2 linked regions of the Cricetulus griseus genome follow. The protein of the gene in region 2 purifies or fractionates together with the protein of the main gene of each other region. This does not show direct contact. Links are inferred from orthologs where the notes say so. Each region holds a gene or a part of one and is shown on either strand. Other genes may lie near its edges.

Region 1 (3,567 bases), on a different chromosome or scaffold from region 2:
TTGGTGGCTGTCAGAAGGCTGAGGAGCCTAGTGACTCTTTTGGGTAACTGGCTCCGGTGTGTTTCAGTGCCCAGCAGGACAGCATAAAAAAGGCCAACATGAAGCGAGAGAACAAAGCCTATTCCTTTAAGGAGCAGATCATTGAGCTCGAGCTAAAGGAGGTGAGTGCATGGATCATCTCTGGGGGCCTGCTGAGCTTAGCACTAGCTCTCTTGCTATGTCTTACATTCCCTCCTGATTTATCCCTGGTCTTCTCCAACCCTGCTAGAGAGAGACTGGGTTGTCACTGCACGTTGCTGCTCTGTCTTTCCGGCCCTAGCATTGTGAGGACAGGTGTGTCTTGATTCCTGATCCTGTGGAGTCCCAGGGATCCTTGAGATGATTGACAGAATATGCTCTAAAGAACTGGTTCTTATGAGAGCTCTAGCCTATCTCAGCCCATGCTCTCCCTCAGTCTTCACCAGGCTGGACTTTTTTTTTTTTCCTTTTACTTTGTTCCCTGCTCTGTCCCGACGGTCCGTGCCCTTCGAACTGCCGGCTGGACGATGACTCAGCTCAGGCTGGGCTTTCTTGTCTCGTCATCACTTGCCCTTCCCAGAAAAGGACTTACTGCCCATCTGTCCATGGTGTGCTTGCTTCACTCTCTTCCTGCTTGTTGCTTTTATAGCATTTGTCATGTTCCACAGTCGTTTTATGTATTTGTTTCCCTGTTTATTGTCTGACTTTACTTGCCAGGTTGTAAGCTCTGTGAGGGGAGGGATTTTATCTTCTCCCCAGTGTCTCCAGCATTTCAAACAGCTCCTGGCATGATGAGGTGCTCAATACTTTGAAACCCAAGCAGCCTATGTCCTGTAAGGGCCTTGGCTGGGTCTGAGGGCAGGCTAAAGTTTTTAATCTGAAGTCATGTGGCCACCAGAATACCCCTTGGAGATCGTTGAAGGACTTGTTATTTCTCCCCTCATCTTTTTAAGCTGAGAATCCTGATTAAAGTGTGCTTCTTTGCTGCTGTCTCCATTCTGTAGGCATCCAGTGGCTGTGACCTTTTATGGAGGGGAAGGAGGGCATGTGCTTGTAATTGTAGTTCTTAGTAGGTCTAAATAATAAAAACCCAGAGTCAGATGTAGAGGAAAATGCTGAGAGATCAGAGAAAAGGAGCAAACCAAAGCCACCTTTATCTCATTAGTTTACCAGTAGAAAAGGGCACAAGTTCCTGGTTTTTTCCTGCTTATATCCTCTCACTTCCTATCTGTCTATACAGACCTCCAGACCTCTATGATTAGCTAGTGTTAAGCTCCATCCTCTGATCTTCAGACAAACTTTATTTGTGCCACATATCACCACAAGTGCTGGGCTTGAGGCCCTGGTCCTAGACTTGAGTCTGACCTGGAATCCTTTTTGGAAGCGGGTCTGTTCCGTGGATATAGAGTTGGTTTCTGACCCCGGCCCTTCAGGAGATAAAGAAGAAGAGAGGCATAAAAGAGGAGGTGCAGCTGACCAGCAAGCAGAAGGAGATGCTGCAGGCCCAGATGGACAAGGAGGCACAAATCCGGAGACGGCTGCAGGAGGTAAGTAGCCATCACCAGCACATGACAGTGCCGGAAGGATCCTCTGTGGTCCATTCCTGCTCTTTGCTGTCTCGGGTTGGACTCTGCTGACTCTGTTCTGGTGGCTCTGCTTGCAGCTGGATGGGGAGCTAGAGGCGGCACTCGGACTGCTAGATGCCATCATGACCAGGAACCCGTGTGGCCTGACCCAGTACATCCCTGTTTTGGTCGACGCCTTCCTGCCCTTGCTGAAGTCTCCCCTGGCTGCTCCCAGGGTCAAAGGCCCCTTCCTGTCCTTGGCTGCCTGTGTCATGCCCCCTAGACTCAAGGCCTTGGGTTAGTCTTTATTTTCTGTCTGTGGGGTCATCTCAGGGATGTTTGGGAATTGGGCTGGAGGTAGCCATGGTATGCTAAGGAGATGTGTGGCCTAAGCTGCCTAATTTTGTTTCCACATGGAAGCAGCCTATGGAACCTCACACTGGATATGCTCAAGAACAGTGAAGTCTTGCCTCTTCCCTCCATTTTGCATTTTCTCTGACTTCTGAGGAGCAGCCTTTTTTTTTTTTTTTTTTTGGTTTTTCGAGACAGGGTTTCTCTGTGTAGCTTTGGAGCCTATCCTGGCACTCGCTCTGGAGACCAGGCTGGCCTCGAACTCACAGAGATCTGCCTGCCTCTGCCTCCCGAGTGCTGGGATTAAAGGTGTGCGTCACCAACGCCCAGCTGAGGAGCAGACTTTACATGCTACTTAGCATCTCATCTTTCTGTAGCAGCTTTGTTTTAGTGCTGGAGACCATATCTAGGGCCTTGTATGCTAGGCAAGTGCTCTGGTAACTGAGCCACACCCCAGCCCTTTGTAGCATTGTTCTCCACAAAGTCAGGTTCAGAGACAGTGAGAGGGTTGGTGTGCTGTGGCTGGTCATTGTGCTCAGAGCTCATGAGCAGCAGGTGTCAGTGACAAGGTCTGAAGAAACACAAGCCAAGCAGGTGGGTGGAAGTTACAATTGCCTTCTCTTGTGAGCCATTGGTAACTTTAAGTAGATTTTCTTCTTAGCCTAAAGGGAATGTTCTCATGACTGGGGTTGGAGTCTACAAGCTGTTCTGAGAAGAAATGTCAGTTGGTGCCTGAGAAGTATTAGTAACTCGTGATGGAGGAACTTTGTAGCTGGAACTTTACTGTGGGATCAGTGACTCTTGACTATTTAGTATCAAAAGTACCAGCTCTGCAGACATGGTACTTTGTGCCTGTAATCCCAAAACTTGGGAGGCGGAGCCATGAGGATCCTGTGTTTCAGGCTAGCCTGGGCTACATAGTGACATCATGCCCCAAAATAAACATCGCCCCCCAAAAAAACAAAGGGCAGCTATTGTGCCTCCCTCTTTGGATACTGTCACAAAGACTTAGTAATTAAGACACCTGCCACAGCAGGGGTGGAGACAAGGCTCCCACTGTTCCTGTGCCGCCTTTGTGTTCTAGCCAGATGTGGTGTCTTTGTGGGTCATTTGCTGCTTTTCTTCTCACAGGCACCTTGGTGAGCCATGTGACACTACGCTTGCTGAAGCCAGAGTGTTCTCTGGATAAATCCTGGTGCCAGGAAGAGCTTCCAGTGGCTGTGAAGAGGGCAGTGTCACTGTTGCACATGCATACCATCACCAGCAGGGTGGGCAAGGGTGAGCCAGGTAAGGGGCAAGGAGGCACTAGATCACAGGGCAGTGTGAGCTGGTGTGGGGAGTGAGGCAGGAGCCAAAGCGTCCCTAAGCTTACTGTGCCTTTGGTGTTGGGAGAGTCCTCTCTCTCTGGCCTTGGTTTTCCTTGTTTGCCTCTGTTCAGTCTCACATTCTGGGACTGGGCCAATCTGTGGGGTAGAAGTGGCCCTGGTCTAGCACCAGGTTACCAGCCATTGTGCCTGGCACTGTGCTTGGTATCAGGCTTCCAGCTTCTGTCTGCTCTGCTGCTCTCACAGATGCTGCACCCCTGTCCGCACCCGCCTTCTCCTTGGTCTTCCCGATGTTAAAGATGGTGCTC
Region 2 (3,349 bases):
CTGCAAAATGAAGGGTACAGCCTCTGGCAGCTCCCGGAGCAAGAGCAAGGTGTGAAAGGCGGCTCACCTTCCACAGCAGTACAGGCTTAACTTATCCTGAAACCCCTTTGGGAAGCAGCATCCTAGGGGCGGTATTGGGCCTACTCAGGGTTATCTACGAGGGACTGGAATCTGGGATTACTGTGCTCAGCTGGTGGTCTTCCCTCTTCCCTTAGGACCGCAAGTACACCCTAACCATGGAGGACTTGACCCCTGCCCTCAGTGAATATGGTATCAATGTGAAGAAGCCGCACTACTTCACCTGAGCCACCTAACCCAGATGTATTTGTCTTTCCCTCTGTCCCCACACCAGCCTGTTTTCATAATAAACTTTATTGTGACAGGCAGGGCTTATCCCTCCCATGTTGGGAGACATCATGTGGCAAGTGACAAAGCTCTTGAGCCCAGCCCCTTTTGGGGCTACAGTGGTAGGGATGGGAGCAGGGATGAGCCCCATAACTGGGGTAGTACCATGATTGGAGACGGGAGGCAACCAGAGGCCTTCAGCTTTGGGGAAGTACACTCCCCCAACCTTGTTTTGACACCTCTGGAGTCTGGGCCAGGACCTTCCAGTCCTACTTGTCTTGCATCTTCTCCAGGATAGGCACAATCATGTCAAACTTGGGTCGCTTTGCAGGATCTTCATTCATACAAATCTTCATGAGCTTACACACGTGTGGGGAAATACCTGGTGGAATTGTAGGCCGAAGGCCTTCCAGTGCCACCTGGAAATTACAAGGAACAAGGTGAACTTCAGAGTTGGAGTTAATCATATGGTAAAAAAACTTTTGACCCTTCAATGGGATTACTATAAATCTGCACAAATTGTGAGAAGAGCTTGCCACAGCAATTGTCAGCACCACTACCCCTATACAAGTATGTGCAGTTCTATGCTCACCTTCATTCCGATCTCCATATTAGAGAGGTCAGCAAAGGGCACCTCTCGTGTCACCAGTTCCCACAGAAGCACTGCAAAGCTCCACATGTCTGCTGAGCGTCTGTTAGTGTCTTCAGGCTTCTTCTGCAGGGCTGGAAGGAAGAGGGCTTACTACTCCAGCTGCCTAGCCTGTCCTATCTCTGCCTCTTCCACTGTTATTGTGTTGGTTCTTCTCAATTCCCAACATGATGCCTTCACCTACCTTCAGGGGCCACCCAGGCAGGTGCATACATGCGCCCTGGGCACTGGAAAGAAAACTTGACATCAGCCATGCTGATTCGAGCAGTCATGTCTTCATCGATCTGAGGAAGAGAAGTTCAAAAAGGTGGGCCCTATTGTAGGCATGCAGAGGGCTTTGGGGACCAGTAGTGAACTTGTGGACTCACCATTACACTACGGCTATTTAGTGCATGTCGAGGTATGAGAGGCTCTAGTGTGTGTAGAAAAGCCATGCCTCTTGCCATGTCCAAAGCAAACTTTACAGCTTGGCTCTGGTCCACAACGAAATCTAACCGGAAGCAAGAATTAATTTAGAGTTTACCACCCCTATTTTAGTCCCTCCCCAACAAGGCCAGTATCCTTACTGGTGCCTTCATGTAGTACATTGTAGAGAGATCCATATGGCATCCAGTGTGTGATAAGGGTTGGGTGGGGAGCTGGTGGAGCCTGGCAAGCTCCTAGCACTGGAAGCACGTTTGGATGTGAGAAAATCCTGGGAGAGGGAGAGAGTGGTGAGACCCAACAGAATTTCCCTTTTCAGTACTATTTGGGCTTCCACTTTTGCTGTCCCACCTGAGCCGGGGACACTCTTCATTGAAGTCCCTGCTTTTCCTTGTACTCCAGTCTCGAACCTTCAGCACCTTCACAACAATGTCATTGCTCTGCCAGCGGCCTTTCCATAGCTGAAGGACAGGTAGAGGTTAGGCGGTATTAGCTCAGGCTATACTATTTCCTTTCTATTAACTGGAAGAAAACCTTAGAGATACAGAGTGGCAGTTTGTGAGTGTTAGAGAGGGAGGGGCAAGAAGGGCAGGGATCACCTCTCCAGAATGATTCTCGTTGAGCTTTGCCAGAAAGTTGAGCTGTTTGAAGTCAATACCGGAGTGTTTGTTCAGGGTCCCATTTCCTGAGAATATGGGTAGGTCAGGTACCCAGCTTCACCCTAACCCACTTCACTAGCCCAGGATCCTGAATTACAGCCCTTCCCCCCACAGCAGTGACTCACGGGGCCGAGTACGAGTGGTCCCCTTCCAGAATGTGTCCTTGTATGGAATACGGTTGAGATTCTGGCCCATCTTCTCTGCCCGTTCTGGGGAGGAAAAACAGTCTTAGCCTTAACTGTGATATAGAGGGAAGAGATGCAAGATAGGACAAGAGGACACAAGCTAGGGGTAGGGAATGGACCTCGGAGAAGCTCTCTAAGGGGTGCCTTGGCTTTGTCAACAGGCATCTCTCCATACTTGTTACAGATGCTGACAAGAGCCCCGTTAGCCACCAGGTCCTGCAAAGAAAAGATAATTTTTATTCAGGGGGAGGGGGGGCTGTTAACTGTGTCACAAGCAAGCACGAACAGAGATGCAGTGTACTGTCCTGTAAGTGTCACACAGTAGGATTGACAGGATGGGTTGATGGTTCCATGCTCAATTTGTTTCCCACTCATCCTAGGACTTAGGTCTGAGTACTTACCTCTGCCACCTGGTCTTGACCCCAGAAACAGGCATAGTGAAGGGGCACATTCCCATGCTCATTCACTGCATTGATGTCAGCCTTGTATTGCAACAGCTGCGCCCCATGGCCAAGAAAAGAAAAGAATATAGTCCCAAATTTAGATAGTACACATTCTCCATGTGACAATAGCTGTTACTGACTTCACAATTGTGTACATGTGAGATGTGGGTGTTGAAGGGTTTGCCCATACCTTCTGTACAATGTCACGGTGTCCATGACTGGCTGCCAGGTGCAGGGGGGTATCATCCCCACGATTCATCACATTGATACGTGCTCCTCTCATGATCAGCATTTCAACCACCGCAGAGCGGCCTTCTCGGCAGGCCCAGTGCAAGGGGGAGAAGCCATGATCATCCCTTTGAGAAAGAGGCATGGAATTGGAGGTTGGGAGGGACAAAAGCTTTGATGGGAGAATTCTATATTCACTGAGAAGGCTTGCCTCTCTAGTACTTAATTTTTACTCATGTCAGCAATTCACAAAGTTCAATTCAGATTTTCCCTTGAGCTTCACACCCAGTCACTCAGATGTCCCAACAACTGTAAGGTTTATTACTTTAATGACCATCTCCTAGATCCTCTTCCCTAGCAGTTCTTCATTAGGTGATAGCACTCTTCTGGGTTCTTTGGCGTCTGCTGCTCCTTGAT

What was found.
Region 1: the proteins of Ilk (region 2) and Gcn1 purify together in Homo sapiens (affinity purification with mass spectrometry; 3 studies listed by BioGRID and IntAct, with this or other methods). This does not show direct contact. The link is inferred for Cricetulus griseus from reciprocal best matches to the Homo sapiens genes ILK and GCN1.

Annotation. Positions count from the first base shown.
Region 1 is NC_048597.1:95,684,208-95,687,774, forward strand, and holds part of Gcn1 (eIF-2-alpha kinase activator GCN1), read left to right. Parts: intron 1-67; coding exon 68-161; intron 162-1,451; coding exon 1,452-1,565; intron 1,566-1,681; coding exon 1,682-1,880; intron 1,881-3,065; coding exon 3,066-3,221; intron 3,222-3,505; coding exon 3,506-3,567. UniProt on the Homo sapiens protein: Ribosome collision sensor that plays a key role in the RNF14-RNF25 translation quality control pathway, a pathway that takes place when a ribosome has stalled during translation, and which promotes ubiquitination and degradation of translation factors on stalled ribosomes.
Region 2 is NC_048596.1:93,960,274-93,963,622, forward strand, and holds the end of Ilk (integrin-linked protein kinase), read right to left. Parts: intron 3,061-3,349; coding exon 2,895-3,060; intron 2,759-2,894; coding exon 2,663-2,758; intron 2,478-2,662; coding exon 2,381-2,477; intron 2,286-2,380; coding exon 2,202-2,285; intron 2,103-2,201; coding exon 2,017-2,102; intron 1,879-2,016; coding exon 1,769-1,878; intron 1,689-1,768; coding exon 1,561-1,688; intron 1,485-1,560; coding exon 1,363-1,484; intron 1,279-1,362; coding exon 1,179-1,278; intron 1,069-1,178; coding exon 938-1,068; intron 765-937; coding exon 615-764; 3' UTR 527-614; downstream 1-526. UniProt on the Homo sapiens protein: Scaffold protein which mediates protein-protein interactions during a range of cellular events including focal adhesion assembly, cell adhesion and cell migration.